Linked DNA regions of Callithrix jacchus. The protein of the gene in region 6 binds, or shares a complex with, the protein of the main gene of each other region. Links are inferred from orthologs where the notes say so. Each region holds a gene or a part of one and is shown on either strand. Other genes may lie near its edges.

The links.
Region 1: STRIP2 (region 6) and STRN3 share a complex: the UniProt entries of both Homo sapiens proteins name them as parts of the core of STRIPAK complex. The link is inferred for Callithrix jacchus from reciprocal best matches to the Homo sapiens genes STRIP2 and STRN3.
Region 2: STRIP2 (region 6) and STRN4 share a complex: the UniProt entries of both Homo sapiens proteins name them as parts of the core of STRIPAK complex. The link is inferred for Callithrix jacchus from reciprocal best matches to the Homo sapiens genes STRIP2 and STRN4.
Region 3: STRIP2 (region 6) and STK25 share a complex: the UniProt entries of both Homo sapiens proteins name them as parts of the core of STRIPAK complex. The link is inferred for Callithrix jacchus from reciprocal best matches to the Homo sapiens genes STRIP2 and STK25.
Region 4: STRIP2 (region 6) and STK26 share a complex: the UniProt entries of both Homo sapiens proteins name them as parts of the core of STRIPAK complex. The link is inferred for Callithrix jacchus from reciprocal best matches to the Homo sapiens genes STRIP2 and STK26.
Region 5: STRIP2 (region 6) and STK24 share a complex: the UniProt entries of both Homo sapiens proteins name them as parts of the core of STRIPAK complex. The link is inferred for Callithrix jacchus from reciprocal best matches to the Homo sapiens genes STRIP2 and STK24.

The regions. Positions count from the first base shown.
Region 1 is NC_133509.1:65,326,295-65,329,794, reverse strand, and holds part of STRN3 (striatin-3), read left to right. Parts: intron 1-13; coding exon 14-154; intron 155-3,500. UniProt on the Homo sapiens protein: Calmodulin-binding scaffolding protein which is the center of the striatin-interacting phosphatase and kinase (STRIPAK) complexes.
Region 2 is NC_133523.1:40,701,306-40,704,805, forward strand, and holds part of STRN4 (striatin-4), read right to left. Parts: intron 2,399-3,500; coding exon 2,228-2,398; intron 2,069-2,227; coding exon 1,928-2,068; intron 1,469-1,927; coding exon 1,370-1,468; intron 1,201-1,369; coding exon 1,114-1,200; intron 1-1,113. UniProt on the Homo sapiens protein: Calmodulin-binding scaffolding protein which is the center of the striatin-interacting phosphatase and kinase (STRIPAK) complexes.
Region 3 is NC_133507.1:162,776,919-162,779,749, forward strand, and holds the end of STK25 (serine/threonine-protein kinase 25), read right to left. Parts: intron 1,960-2,831; coding exon 1,823-1,959; intron 1,176-1,822; coding exon 1,136-1,175; 3' UTR 501-1,135; downstream 1-500. UniProt on the Homo sapiens protein: Oxidant stress-activated serine/threonine kinase that may play a role in the response to environmental stress.
Region 4 is NC_133524.1:127,582,772-127,586,748, forward strand, and holds the start of STK26 (serine/threonine-protein kinase 26), read left to right. Parts: upstream 1-1,177; 5' UTR 1,178-1,283; intron 1,284-1,382; 5' UTR 1,383-1,491; coding exon 1,492-1,533; intron 1,534-3,977. UniProt on the Homo sapiens protein: Serine/threonine-protein kinase that acts as a mediator of cell growth. Modulates apoptosis. In association with STK24 negatively regulates Golgi reorientation in polarized cell migration upon RHO activation.
Region 5 is NC_133502.1:14,261,882-14,266,042, forward strand, and holds the start of STK24 (serine/threonine-protein kinase 24), read right to left. Parts: upstream 2,801-4,161; 5' UTR 2,786-2,800; coding exon 2,327-2,785; intron 1,019-2,326; exon of another isoform or gene 1,004-1,018; coding exon of another isoform or gene 1,001-1,003; intron 1-1,000. UniProt on the Homo sapiens protein: Serine/threonine-protein kinase that acts on both serine and threonine residues and promotes apoptosis in response to stress stimuli and caspase activation.
Region 6 is NC_133512.1:117,765,271-117,769,548, reverse strand, and holds the start of STRIP2 (striatin-interacting protein 2), read left to right. Parts: upstream 1-1,478; 5' UTR 1,479-1,518; coding exon 1,519-1,647; intron 1,648-4,278. UniProt on the Homo sapiens protein: Plays a role in the regulation of cell morphology and cytoskeletal organization. Required in the control of cell shape. Calmodulin-binding scaffolding protein which is the center of the striatin-interacting phosphatase and kinase (STRIPAK) complexes.

The DNA.
Region 1 (3,500 bases), on a different chromosome or scaffold from region 6:
GGGTTCATTTCAGATCATGGAATACCTACATCAGTTGACTTTATAGGCTGTGATCCAGCTCATATGGTAACCTCTTTCAACACTGGTAGTGCAGTAATTTATGATTTGGAAACTTCACAGTCATTGGTGATACTTTCATCACAGGTAGATTCTGGTAAGTGTTCGTGGAGTTTGTTTGAAACCTTGAAAAGGATTATTATACAATAGAGAGTGATCTTTTAGCTAATTTTCACATTTTGACTACTTAAATTTAGGATGGCAAAATTGTTTCATAATGTTACAGTTATATTATTTCTGCTTTCTTCAAATTGTGCTTAAAAGCTTGGGTGTACATAAGAGAAAAGAGGAATGACTAGAGCAATATGAAGGTGAAAATAGAGAAAATAACATAATGAACCTGACATATTCATAATTCAGCTTAAATACTTGTCTATAAATGTCCAGTATTGTACATGCAGTATATGGTGTGTGTTTTAGAGTTTATTTAGATAGGATCACATAAGATTTATGTATTGCGATTGGTTGATAGGTCTTTCAGGTCTCTCTTTATCCATGGATTCCCTTTGCTCTCTTTTATATTCCTTTTTTTTAATTGAAGAAATTGGCTAGTTTGTCCTGTCAAGTTTCCCACAGTCTAGATTTTGCTAGTTGTATCCCTGCGTTAGTTAACGTGCTTCTCTATTTCCTGTGAATTAATTGTAGATCTAGAGACTTATTCAAATTCAGATTCACTGGTTCTTTTCCCCTTTTTAAAATTTTAAAATGTTTTTGGCAACTCTACTTCATAAGTAATTTGTGAGCTTTTATCAGAAGTAAGTATTTTCTGGTTGTGTATGTTTTTGTGATGCTTTCAGTCTTGATTATTGCCTGGGTTCATTAATTCATTTTCTACCGAAAAATGATTTCCTAATTTTATTATTCCCTCTCCATTTATTAGCTAGATTATTCCTATAAAAAGGAACATCTCCTTATCAGTAATTTGGTTATCTTGGGGTTAGTGTGTATTAAGGAAAGGCAAGGTAAATGATTGGGTTTTGGTTTTCACCTTTATTTACCAGTTTTCAAAATAATGAGGTGGTTTGCTAGCACCCTCTACAGGTGACCAGTTTGTCTTGCGTGTTGTTTTTGGTATCATGGTACTGTCTCATGGATGTAAATGTATTTGATGTGTTTGAATTCATTGCAGGTATAATTTTTATCCCTGCTCAGATCCTTTCATTTTGGCCAGTGGGGCTAATTCAGTGGGGCTCAGGTTGGCTCCTCAGTCCTTTTGCCATGACCCTGGTAGTTGTTGGTAGCTTACTGATATGACATATGACAAGATGTTTTAGGTTCATCTTGTTCATTTTGTGCCCCCAGATCTGAAATCAGCTCTTTATCTAAGGAGTTGTGGTTTCTTTGAGTGGGAAATGGCATTTAGAGACTACAGTTGGGGTGCTAGGCTGTTGCGTTGATCCTCATGGTCTTCATGGCTCCTGCGTTGTTCATTAAGTTAGGGTTTTTCAATGGACAGAGCTAGTAAATAAGCATTTTTTAAAAAGTAAAATACCTCCACTTCAAATTCAGATTTATTTTGGTTCTCAACACAATTGTTTCTCATTTGATTTATCCCACAGTATACACAGAGTCGTCTCAATAATAATACCGTTACCACCAAAAGACTGACTATTGATAATAAAACTTTGTACTTAACTATGTTCCACTAGGGATATACAGTCTAATTACTGTGCTTTAAAGTCATTGGAAGTTTCTTCCTTTGTAGCTATACCACCAGTTGGATATACTAAAGTTCGTTTGTTTAATTTTATTTTTGATTTTCATTAATTTGTTTTAGAAAAACAACTGTCAGCTGGGTGCATTAGCTCATACTTCTAATCCCACCACTTTGGGAGGCCAAGGCAGGAAGATAGCTTGAGGCTGGGAGCAGAGACCAGCATGGGTGGCTGAGTGCAGTGGCTCACACCTATAATTCCAGCACTTTGGGAGGCCGAGGCGGGCGGATCACAAAGTCAGTAGATCGAGACCCTCCTGGCCAACACGGTGAAACCCTGTCTCTATTAAAAATACAAAAACTTAGCCAGTCGTGGTGGTGCGTGCCTATAGTCCCAGCTATTCGGGTTGCTGAAGCAGTTGAATCACTTGAACTTGGGTGGTGGAGGTTGCGGTGAGCCGAAATTTCACCACTGCCCTCCAGCCCGGGCAACAGAGCAAGACTCCGTCTCAAAAAGAAAAAAAAAAAAAAAAGTTTAAAAAAAGAAAAAAAAAAATAGATCGAGACCAGCCTGGGCAACATAGTGAGACCTCATCTCTACCAAAAACTTAAAAAATTAGGTGGGCATGTTGATAGTGCCTGCAGTCCTAGCTTTGGAGACTGAGGCAGAAGAAGCACTTGAGCTCAGGAATTCAAGGTTACCATGAGCTATGATTGCATCACTGCACTCCAACCTAGGTGACAGAGTGAGAGACCTTGTTTCTTAAAAAAAAAATTGTTTTATAATTATGTAAGATATTTACATGGTGCCATGGTCAGATCTTAAACCAAAATTATTTTCTAAGGTCTCTGTCCCAGTATCTCCTCAAACCTTTTTTTAAAAAATTACCCTACATAGGTAACTATAACTCTCTGTGTGTGTGTGTGTAGATATATATTTTATGCGTTTAGGTGTATGAGTTGCGGTACACATATAGAATGATCTAAAGTCTATTAATATTGAAGATTTTTCTCTAATTTATTTGTTTTGATATTTCTCTGTTCTCCATCTTTAATTAAAAAGTAACAGCTTACTGGTTGAAAAAATCTCATCTTTAAAGAGCGTTAATTCAGTTTTTTGTCTTTTTTTGTTTTTGTCAGTGTAGGTAGGATGGGGATTGTTCCTTATAAACGTCTGACTAGCAGTTATGAATGTTTTCCTTCTTTAAAGGCTTATAATTATTTTATGGCCGGGTGTGGTGGCTCACGCCTGTAATTCCAGCACTTTGGGAGGCCGAAGTGGGTGGATCACAAGGTCAAGAGATTGAGACCCTCCTGGCCAACATGGTGAAACCCCATCTCTACTAAAAATATAAAAATTAGCTGGGCCTGATGGTGCGTGCCTGTAGTCCCAGCTACTCAGGAGGCTGAGGCAGGAGAATTTCTTGAACCTGGGAGGCAGAGGTTGCAGTGAGCCGAGATCGCGCCACTGCACTCCAGACTGGCGCCTGGCGACGAAGCAAGACTGTCTTAAAAAATAAATAAATAAAAATAAAAATTATTTTATGGACTCTTTATTAGACGTAATAATTGTAGATCTTTTAAAAATTCTAAACTACCTATAATAAAGAGCTGCATTAAAACACTGCTCATTTTTTCTAAACTTGAGCCTAGTACAGTCTGTATTATAGGACGTGATAATGTAAATACTTATTTTTTTTTTAATCTAGAGTCATTGTTCTCAGATATTTTGTTTTATGCAAAAGGTTTGGTTTTTAATTATTTGTATATTGGAGCATGATTAAAAAGG
Region 2 (3,500 bases), on a different chromosome or scaffold from region 6:
CTCCGGGGAAGTAGGGCTCAACTCTCCTCTCCCTCACCCTCTGCCCATCACCTCCTGAGGCCCACCCAAAGGAGAACCCCCATCCCCTCCTGTCCATGGTCCATCTCATCCCCCAGCATTTCCTGAGCAGCTACTGCACACTGAGCCCCAGGGGCGGGGAGCGAACAAAACAGGCAACTCTCCCTGCCCAGCAGCACTGAGGCTGCAGCTAAGACAGGAAATGAAGAAAGCAACCCAGGGGTCAGTGTGAGGACAGAATGGCCCCAGGAGGAATGCAGGGAGCCTTCCAGGCAGAACAGATGGGGAAGGTCCCAAGGCAGGAGGCAGGGGTAGCCACAAGAGCCTGAGCAGGGCCCTGGTGAGGAGACGTCCGGTTTAGGGTCAGGAAGACTAGGCAGGGCAAAGGCTCAGCTTCTTCCACTGTCTAGCAGTCCCCAGAATTGAGGCCTGTCTGTGGGGACCCGGACCCTGTACTAATCTCTGCACTGGGCTGGATCTCACTGACCAGCCCCTCACCGACCAGCCCCTCACCCACCAGAGGCTGCCAGCACAGGCCTGGAGGCAGAACCAGCCACAGCTTCCATCACCATGGCCTGCGCCTCTATGCACGCACACGCACTCATGCCTGCACCTACTGCAGGCCTTACCAGGCAGGCCTTGCCCTTCACCCCACAGCAAGCTCCAGCCCCCTTCTCCACCCACCCACATCCCGCTCCATCCCTTCTAAGCACAGCCTGTTGCTGCCCTGGATGCCCTTATCCAGAGACGGAGGGTAGGAGAACATAAGTCCCTGCGGGGACTGGCCAGGCAGACCTGGAGCAATGCTACGAGGCCCTGACGCCAAGTTACAAAGGGTCAGGGCCACATCTGTAAACTGGAGATAAAAGTACCAACCGTGCAGGTTGTTTAGAGGCCAAATGAGATGATGCAGCTCCAGTGCCCCAGGGAGCTGATCCCGGAGTGCTGTGCTGCCCCGTATCTCCTGTCATTTCACCCAAACCGGCTTCCTTCAGTCCTGGCCCCCAAGCCCCCTGAGCACTTGCCTGAGGCCAGTGCCCAGGCTTCTTCCTCCCCTTCTCCCCAACCCCAGTGGGCCTAGTGTGCCCAGCTTACTTCCTGACATCAGGAATACGCCATTGGGGTCCACGGCTAGGCAGGTGACTGCGTCCAGGTGTGCAACCATGGAGTGCACCGGTTTACCTGAGGTGAGAGGGGGTGGGTGGCAGGTTCCCCTCCCACTCTGGGCCTCCCTGGGAGAGGGAAAGACCTGGAGGAGACCCTCCCAGGGCCTCCCACCGGGACTCGAGCGTCTCTGACGCCTGCCCCTGGCACTCCCCACCCTCCACGAACACAATGGGCTGGACTTCACCTGTCCGATTGTCCAGGAAGCGGATGCCCCTGTCGTCGTGGGCGGTGATAGTGAGAGGCTGGTTTGGGTGACTCGCCACTTGGTTGATCTGGGTTGGACCTGAAGGAAAAGCAGGGTGAGAAGGATGTCAAGGGGAAGATCAGGAAGACCAGGACGGAGGCACAAGTGCAGCATGACAGCCCTACACCAGCCTCTGCCTGGATGTCGAGAGGGGCTGGGCAAGGCCACTCCCATCCCTGACCTCAGTGCTGGGTCTGCACAAGGAGCCCCTGGGCCATCCTGGAGCTGGGGGAAGAATAGTAACAAACATGAAATTCCACTACTCTACCAAGAGGGCCCAATAGGGTGTCCCTGATACACTCTCCCCACCTGGCCCCCCAAGTGCCCTGGCTGTGAAGGTGGGGGCCCTGCACCAGGACTCGACTTCCTTCCTGCTCAGGGCCCGAGGGTGCAGGGGAGTCATCTGAGCTGACTGGCAAGAGGGTCATCAAAGCCCCAGGAGGAAGTGGGGCCCGGAAGACACAGAGCAATTCCATGAGCTGCTGTCGGCCCGCTTACCGCTGCTGCCCCGGGACTCCAGTGTGAGGAGAGCACTGCCAGCCTCCAGGTCATACAAGACGGTGTCGCCAGAGCGGAAGGAGGCCACGATGTGGGCAGGCTCGGTGCTGGTAAAGGCCACTGAGGTGGGGACCCCGTGTTCTGAGGGCACAGGGGAGAGAGGGCTGCTGAAGGGACCCTCAGATCCAGCCCTGCCCCAGGGTGGGGGACTGTGGGTGGGAGGCCTGGGGCCTCAGCGGGAACCACCCTGACAGCCTCCAGCCCCGTAGAGCTCCAGGGTGAGGTGTAGCCTCCACTCACCGCTGGTTGTGGGGAAGGTGCAGAGGCAGGTCGGGCTGCTGCTGCTGGGGTCCCAGATGCGGACGGTGCCATCGGCGGAGCAGGAGGCCAGGCGCTGGGAGGCAGAACTGAAGGCCAGGCCCCACACGGCATCGCCGTGGCCCTCCAGGACGTGGCTCAGCACGCTTGGGTCTGCACCCACCGCAGGGAGGAAATGGGCTGTGTCAGGACTGCCAGCTCCTCCCTGGACAGCCTGGAGCCCCAGTTCTGCCAAGCCCCAGGTGGCTGGGCTCGAATCACCTGTGCACCCGCTTCACGCCCTGGTGCCCCTCAGAACTGTCCACCACCAGGACAGCACAGAAGCTGCTCACACTGCCCGCTAGCTCTCTAAGGAAGGTTCTAAGGCTCCCGAAGGCAGGGATTTCCCTCCATTCACGGCTGTCCCCCCAAGCAGGGCCCAGAAACTGGAAGCTCAATTCAGAATTTTTTCAGTCTCCATTAAGAAAAAAGGAACAGTGTGGTTCTGTGCCCCCACAAGCGGCACACAGCCTGTACTGGCTGAGGGTCCGCCCCAGCTCCGGCCTGTGCAGTCTTTTCAGCCCACGGCCCAGTGCCTGAGCCTCACTTGGTCTCTCCAAAGCCCCCTAGTGGTTCAGAGGTCCAACCACTGCCTCCCTGGTTGCTGAAGTCCATGCTGGCAGCTCTGGCCTGCTGACACCGAAGGTGTGGTGGCCAATATGTCTGGGACTGACCCCTGACCTTGTGCAGGTGAGCCTGTTCTCTAACATGTCCTCCCCTTGAAAGCAGACAAAGACCTCTGAACTCTGCCCGGACAAGATGGAGCACAGGGCCAGATGCATGATCAAAAGAGGAGGCAGAGCCGGGCGTGGAGGCTCACGCCTGTAATCCCAGCACTCTGGGAGGCAAGCGTTATCGCCTGAGGTCAGGAGTTTGAGACCAGCCTGGCCAATATGGTGAAACCCAGTCTCTACCAAAAATATAAAAATTAGCCGGATATAGGTGTACACACCTAATGCTAGCTACTCAGAAGACTGAGGCATGAGAATCACCTGAACCTGTGGGGCAGAGGTTGCAGTGAGCCAAGATCACGCCACTGCACTCCAGCCTGGGCCATAGAGCAAAACTCTGTCTCAGAAAAAAAAAAAAAAGGTGGCAGAAAGCAGGAGGACAGATGTTGAATGGAAGTGGCAGTCTGGTCACTTCCCTAGTTAGCTCTTAGTTGCCCCAAAAAGAAAGCCCCAACTCCGTCCAGCCTGGCCCAGCTAACTCCACC
Region 3 (2,831 bases), on a different chromosome or scaffold from region 6:
AAGCACTGGAAAGCAGACCCTGCGTGTGCCCTGCACACCCACTGCCAGGACCCTCTCAGAGAAGCGTGGCACAGCCGTGCTGACCTTCCCTCTGGTGAACCAACTGGCAGCCCCAGGGGCCTGGCCTGCAGGTCACAGCTACACAAGAGTCTGGCAGAAGCCACGCCTGTTCCCCACGTAACCTCTGGAGAAGCAGAAGCCAAAGTCCCCCTGTGCCCTGGGAGGGTGGGGTCCTCTAATTTATTACTGCCCAGCATTCCTTCTGGTGGGAAGTAAATGGGCGACCGCTTTGTTCACACGTCTGACGATTAAAAACACCTGCCCCCACCTGCACACTCCTCTGCTCGCTCTGTTCTCCTTCCAGTGTCAGCAAAACCCAGGAATCAGTCACAGGGAAGTTCCGAGGGGGGACTGGGCTGCAGTCCCCGCGTGCTGTGATGAGGACTCGGGACCAGGGACGCAGCAGCCCCGCATGGCCTGGGCCCCGCCACACACCTGCATGTCTCCAAGTCAGGTCTTTATTGAAAGTGGCAGGGGCCTCTCAGTGTTCTATGAAAACTAACATATTAACCTCAGAATATTAAGGAAACAAGTAAATTCCATTTTCTTAAAAAACAAAACAACATTCTGGATGACACAAGTACTTATGAGCAGACACGGTACCTGATCCAACACCACAGGGCAAATCTGTGGCCATGATGGGCCCCAGGAGGACAGTGGCCAGGGCACTCCTCTGGGCTGCCCCGTTGCCTCTCCCCACCTCACGGGAGGAGGAGGCAGAGCTGCCCTGATAGTTGCTCTGCTCCTTGGTCTGAGCAGCCATGGGGCTGTGAGAGTCTGCAGAAGAGCCAGGCGTAACTCACGAGGGCCTTGCCGGCTGCTGGAGCCCCTGTGGACTCTACTGCTGGGCCAGGAGCGGAAGCGGGGCAGTGGGCACGTGGAGCAGCATCCCCTGACGTGCAGGACAGCACAGTGCAGGGGTAGGAGACGGTGACCTGGCAGGTGAGGCCCACAGGATCTGATGTGTCCCTGCAGGCACGACACAGCATGGGGCACCTTCCAAGTCAGCACAGTTATTACGGAGCTCAGAACAAAACAAAGGACCTTCTGTCCCCTCTCTGAACAGCAGTGTGCTTCAGCGGGTAGATGTCAGGTGGTTTCTGTTGTGTGAAAACCTGCAGAGAGAGAGCCCACCGCTGTGCGTCTACCTCTGTGCCCAGGCTCCTGAAGGCCTCTTGGGTGTGCAGTCTGCAGTGGCAGCCCTGACAAGCCACTGCACAGGGTCTCAGGAGCAGCACTGACTGGCCCAGACCCACCCTGAGAGCTGCTGCCCAGGGGTGCCAGGAAGGGGTCACTGTGTGTGGGCCAGGACTTGGTGCATCTGCCAGCGGCGCGGTGGCTGGACCCTAAGCCCAGTGGGCGGTGGGGGACCCAGTATCTGTCCTGCCCTGTCCCTTGCTGACTCGAGCCAGCACAGGGGCAGCTCTGATGTTTCGCTACTAGCGTGTCAGAGCAGCTCCTGGGAGCCACCAGGTGGAGAGGCAGAGGCCAGCCGAGGACGGCCGTGTGGCCACTGAGGCCAGGTCCCTGAGACACTAAGACCGGAAAGGCCCTTCCCACTGTGGCCAGCCCCAAAGGCTCCCAGCCCTGAGAGCTGCGTCCAAACAAGAAAGAGGATGCCACGCCACCCTTTCCCAGAGAGAAGTGGACCCACACAGTGCCAAATGCAGCCACGCCCACAAGTGACTGCTGGACCTCCCCCCACATCCAGCTGCTTCTTGGTGGGGACGCTCTCCCGACCCCAGGGCAGGGCCGCCCTCACCTCTGCACTCGCTCCACCAGGTGCACCATCAGCTTGTCCGAGATGCCGGGGCAGGACTCCTCGGCCAGGCTGAAGGCGTTCTCTAGCTCCTCCAGCGCGCCCACGCTCCCGCCGCTCTGCTTGTGCTTCTCTTTGAGCTGTGGAGAGACCAGGCATGCCTGACCGAGGACCCCAGGACAGCCCGCCTCTTTGCTGGGCCAGAGTTGTGCTAGAGGCCTTCAGGGCCTTCGCCTAACACCCACATCCAGGAGCCCTTCAGCAAGCCAGGAAGGCGGCCCAAGGACGCCTCTGCCCCCACCCTGCCAATGGGAACCCTACTGGTCCTTCCCCACACCCCCTACCCTCCGTCTGCACTCCAGGGAGTTTCAGGCCTCGGTTGTCAGGAGGAGACCAGATGGCTTCCTCCCCGCTGAGGGTCATGGAAGCCACTGAATGGGTCCAATCAGACCCAAAAAAACATGAAGCCCAGAAACTCCCAGAGCTCACTGCATGACCAGGCCACTGACACACACCCCAGATCTGACCGCCATCAGGACACCAGCCCCTGTCACCGGGTATCGCCCACCCTCTGGGAACTGTGACTAGATCCGTAGGCTGCCCAGGACCTGGGCCTGAGTGGCTGCTTCCCGCTGACCTGGGGCCAATGTCCCTGGACTATGCTGCACCCTCTGCCATCCTCAGGCAGGCTCTGCTGTCACCACCTCTCACCAACATCCTTCATCCTCCCTCCCAGGCTCCAATGGGGCTCCTGGAGGGCACACCTGCGCCCAAGCCCACTGGCCAAGCCGTGGGCAGAGATCCTGGCTGCATCACATTTCTGGGGATAGTGCTGACTGCCCATGAGGAGGTGACGTGGATGTAGCGTCACATGACTAAGCAGGGAGGTCCTGCCCTGTGACGGACCCCAACTACACCTTCTCCACTTTCTCTATAGAAGAGTCAACTGCGTTTGCACTCAAAGAAGATAAGTCACCCTGGGAACCCAGAGAACACGGGCAGGCCCGGGAGC
Region 4 (3,977 bases), on a different chromosome or scaffold from region 6:
ACACAGAAAGCACTTAGCAGTCTCTGGCACAAAGAAGATGACATCCATTAATGATAACGATATTGATAAGAATCATATATTATTCTCTGAAAAAGATGTAAAAGGAAGAAGAGAAACTACTATTTACCACTAGAGGCCCCCCACCGTGTGGTGGTTAGAGACCCAAAACAAACTTCAAAGTAAAGAACTTCATTTTAAACTGGCATTCGACTATTACGTTTTTAAAAAGTAATTAACCCCTTATGTGTTCCCAAAGGTGCCTTCATAATGAAATTCCTGTTGCTATTATTACCAGTGTTACTGTCGCTGTTAGAGTACTCTCAAAAGAGCCTGTCTCCCTCCCGCAGTGGAACTTAAAATGCGGCGGAGGCAGGGAGTTACCAAAATCGCTGCTGTGTATGCCGAATTCAACAACCTGTACTGCTGACGATCCAATCTCATTTCCCAAGCCTCTACTATCCTCATTAACTTTTCTGCTGATATAACATCTGCTTTCCATTTTCCCTCTGCCTTTACACGTGCAGAACTTGTGGTAGAGAGAAGCCCCAGTTTGGCCGTCCTGCAAGTGATAGCCAAAGAGGTAGGGGGAACCTTAGGTTAGAAGTCATCTGAACCATGTCTGGGGTCGGGGAACTCGTAAAGCTTGAGTGTGGCTACTGGTCTGCCCAGAGGAGCAGCCCCCAGCTGAGGAGGCCAGATGGCGGGAAAAAGCGGGGGCCGCCGACTCCGCGGCTGTGATCCCGCCCTAGGCCAGGCCGGGGAGCCAAGAAAGACTTCCAACACTCCCAAGTTTCAACTCAAGTCGTCTCCGAGGGTGCGTGTGCCCCAGCCTCGCACGCCCGCCTGCAACAAGGTCGCATCTAGGACGCCCTCATACCCTCAGGGTTTCCCAAACTCTTCCATTCTCTTCCCAGGCCCAGCCGTGTTCCAGGTCTCCCGTTCGCCGGGTTCTCCTCACCCCATGCCGGGAGAGTCTCCAGCTTCTCAGACTCCAGCAACCCCAGCCAAACCCCTTCGCTGCCTGGAGCCTTGGCTCCCGCGACACCGCCCGGCTGCGGGGCGGGGGCAGGGCCAACGGCGGAACCGCCCCCAGCCGCCTCCCGGGCCAGGCAAGCAGGCGGGTGGCTGGGACGCCTCCACCTCCTCTTCCTAAAGCGGCGAGGCGCAGAGGAGCGGCATCACTCGAGCCCAGGTCCCAGCCACCACCACTCACAGCGCTCGGCGTTCAGGAAGAGGAGCAGCAGCGGAGGCGGCTGCTTCAGTGGCGGGCGGGCGCCAGAAAGGTAGACTGAGTCCCAGGGAGCCCCGCCGCGAACAACCCACCTCCCAGCCCGGGCTACGCGCCTCCAGCCCAGTAACCCCACTTCTGTGTGTCCTTCCAGGCCCCTAACGACAAGCCTGGGAGGGCCGCCGAACTACCCCTGGAGGAGGAGCCAGTCCGAACTCAAGGCGCTACCGCCGCAGAAGCGGAGCGAGGCTACAGTCGCCTCCATGGCCCACTCACCAGTGGCTGTCCAAGTGCCTGGGATGCAGGTGAGGAAGCGCAGGCCGCCCCCCGCCGCCCACGTGACTGCTTGGGAGCCCGGAGCGCTCTCGGTGCTGGGCACCGACGACAAGGGACGGCCCCGGGACTCCCCTGAGGGCTGGGCCGGTCACTCTGGCCAGGTGACCTGGGAGTAGGGCTTGAGGTGTTTCCTGGTGTGTAGGCTAGGTGGTGCTCTTCGCTGGGAAGGCGAGGCGGGACTGGAGCGCGCAACTAGGTGGGGATTGAGGGCGGCTGTGGGGTATAAAAATAGGCCAGAGCCACAGACACCTGCGCCTGTGGAGCTTGGCACGGTTGGGGATGGGAGGGGGGGAGAACTTAACCTGCGAGACATGAAAGTGCCTTGGAAGTTGTGGGGTAAAACGCGAGTAGTGAGTGCCCTACAACCCCCACCCCAAACACGCACTCAAGCTGGGGCGGGGCAAGACCAGGGGTGTCGGCGGCAGCTTGAATTGGGCTCTTCCTGTGTGCGTAGGGCTGAGAGAGAGAGGTGACCTCTTTCTCCCTTTCGGTACTGCTGCTTAAGGGCAAAGTTGTATCTGGCTCCCCGACCTGGCCCAGCCCATAGCGTGGAGCGAGAAATGTTGGTCCTGTTCAGAGTCGCTGAAGTGATGAGTTCCCAGCCCCCCTCCGTGCCTTTCCCACGAGATGACTTACATGTGGTTAAAGTAAGCATATTGTCCTGGACAAGGGACTACTGCATGGGACCCAACTTCTTACTCAAAGTCTACCCAGCCCAACCCCCTCCCATTATATTTTCATTTTATTAAAGGTAAGCCATGTTGGAAAACTTCTCATGCTGTTATGTTTTTAAATCGGTGCACTTTAGGCTATCTGCTAAATGTTATCCAAATCTACCAACTTTTTAAAGTATTCACTTTTTTTCCCTTTGCTAGATAGCCCAAACAACCCATTTATGAATAGTTTAGAGGCTAAAAACAAGAAAGCCTCAGTCTCTCATGATCTAAAAATGTGAAAACAAACTTTTTTCAAGTTCAGAAATAAAATGTTTAGAGTAGCAAATAGCTTATATTTACTGTAGACTTGGGCCTCAATTTACTTATTAGCAGTGTTCTCATTTTATGCATGCCCACAAAAGTGATTTTAAAATTATTTCCCAGAAAGGGATCATTTGTGCACCTAGAACTCCTGGTGTGTCCTAAACATCAGACATTTCAGCTGCATTTAGGGCAAGTCTGGGTTGAGTCTCAGGAAGTTAGTGTATATTAAAGAGAGAGAAAGGGAAATAGGAAATAGTAGGGCTTAAGAAAAAAAAAAGATTAATCCATTCAAGCCTTGCAAAATGTCTCAGACTTTCTTCCTCTCAGGCGGCCTCCCCTCTCTTCCCCCCCCTTTTCCCCACACACCCTGTCCCACACCCCATTCATTCAGTTCTGCCTTTGATTGTATCAAGGGAATTCATAGTTTGCAATACTAAGTACAGTTTTGCCGTCGGATCTGGGAAAAAGTGACATTTTCCCACCGTGCTCTTCTTTCCGTTCTATGGAGAGTGGAACGATGCACACGTGAAGTTTGTCTCTGAGGGTCTCCATGCTTCTCGCTCCATTGTGTGCGTGAGCCTGCGTGTGTGCGTCAGCAGAGTGAGTGCCTCCCGTTCTCAAGTTTGTGATTCTGGGGAACTCTGTGTGCTAAGGAGAAAATAGTTTCCGATCTTTACTTTATTTGTCTTGACCTTATTGAATTTATATGGTTTAGGAACTGCTTACTGTTCAGTATTTCTAAGTGCTGTTCCCTGCTTTGTTTAAAGATCTGAGTTGCCTATCTCTTGAATATTTACATCTTAATTAATGTGGATTCGAATGTGAATCACATACTTTAAATTACAAACTCTGCCTTTCACTGCTGTCTGAATTCTGATTACTTTGTCCCATCTAATCTGAGTAGGGCAAACATCTCAATGTTAGCAGAGAAGAGAGGAATTATTATTATTTTTATTTTTTGGTCATTCTCTTCATCTTAATGAAATGGTAAATTCTTCTTATTTCCATTTTCTTTCTAAATGTACTTCTTAAGCACTTTGTGCAACACATAGTTTTTTCCATAGTTGAAATTGTACAATACCCTAATAATAAATGTGAGAGCACGCAGTGTGACTCTTGAACCTAGACTATTTCTGTTATTGTTATATAGCAAAATATTGCGGATGAGATGCAGAAATTCGTTGCAAGCTTGTAAAATGCTCCTAGAGTTTTATGAAAGCCTTAGGAGCAACTTTTAGATTTTTAGAAAACTTGAGTTAGCCATGTGTTCTTGAAATTACTGTATGGTGTTTCCACAAATCAGGGTGAGGTGACCGGCCAGCCTATAACTTTTTAACAGTTTATTTTAGAGAATTATGAAGATTGATGGGAAAAACGATTTTTCCAGAAATAAAAACAAAATTATCCACAATTTTTTTCTCCCTCTGAGGAGA
Region 5 (4,161 bases), on a different chromosome or scaffold from region 6:
CTGCTGCTACGATATTTAGCTGAGAAAATAAAACCGTGCGTTTCAAAGCAATCCTTGCTAAGTATGATGTCTTCCTTGGCACAGATCAAAGGACACAGAACACAAGTGAGTCAAAGGCTGCTCGTTCCATCTCCACTTGCTGTTCTCCAAGGACCCACTGGGACTTTAACCACGGACCGTTTATAACTCATTTCTTATCCTGGCTTGAAGACAAAGGTCATTCACAAGACTGCATTATTTTCTGGGCATGGTAATCAGCTCTCATGATTTAATATTTTCTTGGCACCACACTCCACCGACCCCAGCACTGACTGGTATGCCAGCCATTTTTAAGTATTGTAAATGGGACTTAAATAAGTAACATTTTGGAAGGTGTGCAAACCTAAATAAATATTGCTGAGTGGGGACCGTTCTAGCCAACTCTCTTGTCTGTTAAGGGAAAAACAATACATTCATCCTCCGTTCGCGTATATATACACACACACACACACACACACACACACACACACACAAACACACTCTCTCTCTCCCCCCTCCCCCTCTCTCCCTCCCCCTCCCTCTCTCCCCCTCTCTCTCTCTCCAGTTGGTTGGTTCCGACTTCCTCCCAGCCCTGCCTTTTACTGATGGGGGTAACCAGAACAGGGCCAGCCTCAAAAACTCAGGAGTCAACTCAAGTGATAACACAGTAACCCCAAATACTCATGCAGCCCTTTCTGTTTTTCAGGAAACTAGCATATAAATATGAATGGCTTCCCAGACCTATAAGGTAGTTCACGCACTTCAGATTAACAGACGCCTTAACATCACAGGGCTGCGCCTAATAAATGCTCAGTTTCCGGCTCCTAGGTTCCTTTCCCTATTAGTCCCTTGTTCCTGGAGTGAAAGCGATGGGAAGTAAAACAGACCACAGCCCCTAAAAGGCTAACGGTGGACTCTACTTTTTATGAGTTTGTCTTTTACCCTACTTTTTCTATCTACACGTCCAAGTACCAACACTCACCATGTATGTCTGCAAGAGGTCAGCTGAAATCCAGATCCCATCATTTCCAAACTCAACACCAGAACGCACGGCCTGACAGGAACAGGTAGATTTGTGGAGACAATGGGACAGAGTACAAAGTCTCAGACTCACCCCTCCTTGTAGCAGAAAACAGCAGCCGGCCAAGTGCGGGAGCCCCCGGGGCCTAGAGGTGCCTGCAAAGGCCGGGGCACAGGAGAGAGGCTGAGGCTGTGCTCCAGCTGGGAGGAGAAGACCAGTGATGCCATCCTCCAAAGTTCACAGCTTCGGTAAAATCCTATCTACCCAAGTGCCCTACGGAGTTGTTCCCACCCCCAGCAAAAAAAAAAAAAAAAAGATAACTAAACACTTGAAGGGCAAACCAAATGCAACAAATGCGCTCCCCAGCTGGACCCAACAGGAAGTCTGCATACATTTACTTAACTCTAGCTCTCTCAATGATTCAAGCACAACTCAACTTTGATTCTGTGCTCAGATCTGAGAAATCTCAATCCTCCAGAAGCACCAAGCAAAAATAAAAAAAGGCCTCCAAGCACAAACACAGCTGCCCCAAATTCCCGGCCCACCCAAACCGCACCTCTCACAGGGAGCCTCAGTCCTGATCTCAGGACATTCTGGTGCGTGATAAAGGCACAGGCTACGAAAGGTCCAACAGCTGGGCTCCACTGACAGCAGCTGAGAAGCAGCAGGTGAGGCAAGGGTGGGTGTAGACCCGAAGACGCCATCTTATCGCTGCATAGAGACAGAGAATGCAGGGGAGGCAGCAACAGGAGACCCCACAGTGTGGCCCGGAAGCCCTCTACTCCCAACTGGCCCCCAAGGATGGCGGAGAACTACGACAGGATGCAGGACACCCCCGAACTGTGAGACAGGAGCTACCAGCCTGCAGATGCAGTGTGGGTCATCAATGGCTTCAATTGAATGATTGCTACCAGAAGCTGCCGTCCACGACTCCGTACCCAGCAGACTCAGTCAAACACATGCGTAAGCCACATACTATACAAAAGAAACTTGATTTCACTTCTGGGTCTTTTTTGATCTTAGGCTTCATAAGAACACCACACAATGTAAATTGGCAAGTATGAGAATCCTGGCTGTAATTTGGAGTCACGTTAGTGGACACCAGGTTTAAAAATAGCTATGAAGAGGCTTCCAGTAAAAGCCATCAAATGAAAGGCGCATTATGTTAGGCTGCTCTGGCCCACACTGACGTTAATAAACGAAGGAGCGTGAGAAGAAAAGTCCATCTGCAATAAATGTAGGAACTACCGGAACCGGAACCCACAGGTAACATAGCCAGGCACTGACCTCTGCTCCAGGCTGAGGGGAGAACTGAGAACACATCAGGACCCTAGGCCTGCAAGGGGGCAGGCGGCTGGGAAACTGAGGTCCTTTTCTTGGCACGTGGGGCTGAGATGGCAGGTACCATTCCTGTGGGAACCCAATTGCAGATCCAGAGGCACCCAGCAGGCCTGGTCCACGAGGGCATCTCCACTTCCCTAACCAGGAAGGCTTCCTAGTAGAGAGGCCAGCTTTTCGCTGTGGGCCCCAGGCAACTGGGCCCTCACCCCTCACCTGGGGAGCATGCGAGGGTGCCACCGGGAGTGGCACAGGCCCCTGGAGTATCTCATCCCTCGGAGAAGAGCAGGCGCTGGCACAGCCCACAGGCAGAAGGCAGGGCAGGCTGGAGAGAAAGAAGAGGACAGAGCCACCTGCCCCAGGAGGCAGTGCTCCCGCCCCTCCGCGCTCACCCCACGCCCGGCCCATGGCAGGTCCCCTCCTAAGCCAAAGGAATCCACGCTGACGAGTGGAGGAAAGGCAGTGGTAAAAAAGAAAACAAAAGGAAAATATTTCCAAATTCCCAAGGGAGAGGGGAAACATTTCAGAAAAATACTGCTCTCAACTCAAAGAAATTACAGACAATCCAGATAATCCTTTTTTTAAAATCTCCAAAAAGCATTAACACAGCTAGAGATGAAGGTAATAAAAATCACTAATAAACCTCATATTAAAAGCAGCAAAAAGTAGAAAACAATGACATAAAGAAAACTGTATTACCTAAGAGTAGAAGCACTAAAAAGATGTAAAAGTGATCAGAAAATGAAAATAAGTAAAAGGCAAAACCCCCCTTCCGGTCAGTTTCTACTAGAGAAATAATAAGACAAGTGGAAAGATTCATAGGTCCATCAAAATTTTCCAAAAATTTTTTTAAAGCTGCAAACTCCCTAGGTAAACATCAATGTAAAATTACAGGAATTGGTCCCCTTTTGGTTGGGGGACAGGGTTACTTATTTACACATCCAAAGAAAAAGGTGGAATGATGTACACTGAAATGCTAACAGTACGTTTTTCTCTTATCTGTGTTTTCTGCACTGTCCCTGTTGCTAACAATGAGCCTGTCTCACAGATGCACACTGTGGGAAAAGCAGAGCTCCAACATCGCAATTTCTAATGTACACATGTGCAGATCAAAAAATGCCAGACTTGGCTTCAGGAAGATGATTTTAAGCTTATTCCCGGCTGCTCAAAGTCAGTGATTAGACAACTCAAATCCATTACCCTAAATCAATACGGATAATAATAAAGAAGCTAAAAAGCAGCAAATGTCTTTCTATATTAGATGAAACATCCTGCATTACATTACACCAAATACCGTAATTACCGCATGACTTGTAAACAATTCTTTCCATAAGGAAAACCAACAAAATGAAAATATAAAAAAAAGAGAAAGCATTCAAGAAAAAATGTTAACTCATTTTTTTTTTAAGCTAAAAAAAGAAACATGAAAGTTTAAAGAAATTGGGAGGTCACAGAAATTGCTTAAGATCTGAATACAATTCAACACCAGTCTTTTTCTTTCTTTTTTTTTTTTTTTGAGGTGGAGTTTCACTCTTGTTACCCAGGCTGGAGTGCAATGGCGCAATCTCGGCTCACCGCAACCTCCGCCTCCTGGGTTCAAGCAATTCTCCTGCCTCAGCCTCCTCAGTAGCTGGGACTACAGGCATGCGCCACCAGTCTTAAAGTCCTTGTCATTCTGGGTTTCACTGATGAAGGGTAAGAGAGCAGGAATAACTTCCGATAAATAAAACTGTTCTGTTTAAAAGACAGCGCACAGATGACCGCTGTGGCAAAGGCTGGGCAGG
Region 6 (4,278 bases):
TCAGGGAGAGAAAACCCAAAAAGCTCCAAAGAGTGCTCTTAAACTTGTTCTTTCACCTACAAACTGACAAAGGGAAAAAAGTGAGAGAGATGGTAAGAAAGGGACAGAGTTGTCTCTAAGATTTGGGAAGGTGGAGTAATTCCTTTAGGCCCCTTGCTTTGGGTATATCGTGGAAAATGTTATGATTTTGGTTCCAGGCAGAACTGGCTTGACACCAATACAGCCTGAGTGAGTTGAGGGCCAAAGGAAAGCTTTGTGAAGGAGGTGATAACTAACTAGAATCTTTATGGGAGAAAAGGAATCAACCAGGGGAGCAGAAGACAGTCTCCTCCAGAGAACAGCACGGGAAAGACCCTGAGACGACAGAATATACCTTGGGAACTGCAGGGAGGAATCTGCAAGGGCCAGTTTCCTCATCAGTAACACCGGATTCGTAAAAATACCCTGTCGGGGAGTACGATGTGATATCTGGAAAGCGCCTACTGCAGTTCCTGGCACCAAGCACAACGCCCCAGACCCTTCCTAAAGCAACCAGGCCGGGGAGAGCGATTTGGTTCCACCCGTTCCCCGGAGCCTAGGTCTTCGGGGCTTCTATTACCAAGTCAGACTGTCTATATACTTCCTACAAGCTGCTTTTTAAATTCAGGGAGGGCAGATCAAACAGCCTCCTTTGCCTCCAGTAACACTGAGCCCTTAGGAAGCATCTTAGAAAAGAGAGAGGAAGGAAGGAAAGGACTGGCGAGCCGGTGAGGGTGGGGACTTGCTCTGCACTCAACATCTGCTGCCCAGCTCACACCATGAGGAAGAGGCCCCTACAGCAGAAAAGACAGATGACAGGAGCAGCCCCGAAGCCACCAGCAATTTCAGTAATGGAAAAACGTCCCCATCCCAATCCTTGACCCCCAGTCTCCCAGCCAAGCCCTCGCTCCGGGAGAGATGCGTTCTCTTCAGAGAAACACTGAGAATTCTCAGCTTCCGGAGACAGCGAGTCCCTCGTTTCGGGGGGGGTGTCCCTGGCCACTTGGTGGTGCCATCCCTCCCCCGCGACTAAGCGGGATGTGGGACGCGTGCAGGAGCCGGGATTTGGGGGTCCGGGTCGATGATACTAGGGAAACAGAGACTGCGGTGGAGCAGGAGGCGGAGATTGGAGCTACGGAAAAGGTCGCTACAGGGGGCGGGGTGAATGCTGAAAGACACCGAGTGAGGAGCACTGAGATTACCCGCCGGAGCTCAAGGCCCCGCATTCCGGGGGTGTGGAGCCTGGAGCTAACCTAGGAGTCTCCGGCTGCCAGCAGTGCCGCAGGACTGAGAAGATCCCCCCAAATCTCTTCAATGAGCCCCCACCTCCTCGAGTCCCGCTCAGGCCGGTGGAGCAGCCAATTGCCTCGCGGGGCGGGGCCGCGGAGAGCATCTGTAGCCAATAGTGGCGGAGGAGGCGGGCCTGGCTCCCGGCGCGCGGCTGTGTGGTCTCCCCGGGCAGAGCAAGCTGAACCCTGAGGGGAGCCGCTGACCAGCTTCATGGAGGACCTCGCCGCGCCTGGGAACGGAGTCCCGCCCGCCAATGGCAACGGCAACGGCGGCGGCAAAGGGAAGCAGGCGGCGCCCAAGGGCCGCGAAGCGTTCCGAAGCCAGCGGCGGGAGTCAGAGGTGAGGAGCCCCCGAGCTTCGGTTGGGGCCCGGAGACGCCCGCGGGCGGGAAGCAGCGGCTGAGGCGATTCGGCCTTGGCCCCGGAGCCCTCGGCGCGCTTCGTCAGCCCCACGCAGTGTGCGCCTGCGGGGTCCCCGCTGCTGGACACTGGGCTCTGCAGCCCCGACCCTCGTCCGCACGTCTCCTGCCGCGGATTGGGGTCTTTCTAGCCCTGTGGCCTCCCCTCGATGCACGAAGATGAGGGCTACGTTGAACGGACCAAATACTTTACAAATATTTATCTCACTTAATCGCTGCAGCTCCTTGAAGCAGAAATTCCGATCCCGGTTTATAGATGGGGGAGCGGGAGCGGAGAGGTTAAGTGACCGGCTTGAGGGGTGGGAGGCCGGAGCTCAGCTGCGGGAAGGCCGGGTTGGCGAGTGGGGCAGCCGCCCTCCCCCTCCCGCGCTGCCTGCGGCGGGCCCCGGGGCCGGTCCGCATTGGCCGGGGGACTTCTGCCCGCCGCCTGCTTGCCCGCTTCTCCCTGCAAGTCTTAGGCGGCTTCGGGAGCGCCTTTCGCGGACATCAGGCCCCCTGCCTGTGAGGGCTGAGCGAGGCGGGATTCCGCAGCCCAGGGGTCGCTATCTGGCGGGAGCAGTCCCAGCATACAGATAGGAGTAGGAGGATTTCCATCTCTTCCTCCTCTCCTAAAGAACAAATCCTGTCTCGGAAGATGAAAGCATCGAATTATGCACACTCCCCTACCCCCTCATCTAGGAGCGGGGATCAGAATAGACGACAGAATGTCACATGTGGCGGGGTCTGCAGAGATCATCTGCTATGGCCCTTTCATTTTACAGACCTAAAAGGAACGGGAGTGACTTGCCAAAGATCAGACATCTGGCACAGTTTGTGGTCAGGAACACCAGGCTTTGGAGTCAGTCAGACCAGGTTTTGAATCCCAGCCCTATCATTTACTACCTGTGCGATTACCCAACCCCTCTGAGCTCTGGTTTCTGCATCTGTAAAATGAAATTAACACTGCCTGCCTCAGAAGGTTGTGATAAAGTGAAAATGAGATAATTGACTATAAACTTTTTGGCACAGTGCAGCCACAATGCATGTAATTGGTCAGCACATAGTAACTCTTAGTATATTATTGTCATCATCATCATCATCAAGTGGTAGAGCTGGTTCTAGAAGCCAGGTCTTTGGCAGCCCAGATCTTGCCTTACCATTTGAATAGCATTTCAGTTTCCAAAGTGATTTCATGTATGCTTCCCATTTTGATGTAGGCAGAGTAGGAGGAATCCATTCTTTTTTTTTTTTTTTTAAGGTAGAAGTGGAGGTAAAAAGACCAGCTCAAAGTCATCATCTTGCAGAGGCAGAGCGCAGCCCTCCTGTCTTGCTAGATTATATCCACCACATCATCTCCCTCCCTACCTCAAGATGAGTCTGGTCTTTTAGGGCACCCTGGACCTCCTTCCCCTACAGAGACATTGTTCTCACTCAAATGTTTTTTGGGGAGATGAGCCATTCATTAATTCAACAATTATTTATCGAGGACTTTCTATCTGCCAGCCACTGTTTTAGATGTTAGGGATGCATCAGGGAACAACATAGGGTCTTTGGCTGTGGAGAGACAAATTGTGAGCAAATAAAATAATTTCAGAATGATATGTTCTATGGGGGAATAAAAGTCTCTCCCTGGATGTCCCTTCTAAAGTTGCAATCTGTTCCCCGCCTGTCAAGTCTTCTTCAGGCAAAGGCTCTGATAGTGTGGTCTTTTGCCAGTACTTTGCAGTGTCCAGAGACTTAAAAGCTTTCCACCTGCACTGCAGTTTACCTGCTGATCGGCTGCAGCTGCACTCTTCATGCCTGGAAATGAACAACTGCAGCGATCATCTCTGGCTGGGCTCATTGCCTGCCAAAAGCCTGGCTGGAAAGATTAACTTTCCTCTACCTTCTGCTGCAGCAGAACTCTTTTTACCTGCCAGTGCCTCCTCTATCACCACAGTACCCAGATGCGAGATCTGCTTTTCTTCTCTCCCTCTTTTTTGCTTTCCTGTGAAAGGCAGTCCTTAGAGGAGATAGGTGTTTTTTTTTCCCCCTCTCTAGGGCTTTTAGAAAATCACTAGAAGAGAATTACTGAGGCACAAGTCAAGAGAGTCTCATCATGTATCACTGTTTATGGGAACACCGTTGACCTACCTTCTCCCAGTGGCTTAGCCTGTGAACATCCCAACCTAAAAAGAAAGCTAAAGAGTAATTGTTTGCTTAATAAGAAGAGTCCTAACCTAACAAAAGGATTCACCTCAGGCCTCTTTTAGCCAGATCTAGTTTATTGATCTCAAACTCCTTGACAGAGTTTTAACTGGTCTGTGGTAAAATGTGGAAAATTCGGGTCATCAAAGTGAGTTTTTGTAAAAATTTAGTTCAATATATTAATTTAAGGATGTACACAATTTAAAACAATGTTTTTGAAACTGCTATGGGGGCAACCTGTTGAGGCTAAAATTTTTATTTTAAGAGATAACCCAGCATGATGACTCATGCTTATTATCACAACACTTTGGGAGGCTAAGGCAGGAGGATAGCTTTAGCTCAGGAATTCGAGACCAGCCTGGGAAATGTAGGCAGACCCCGTCTCT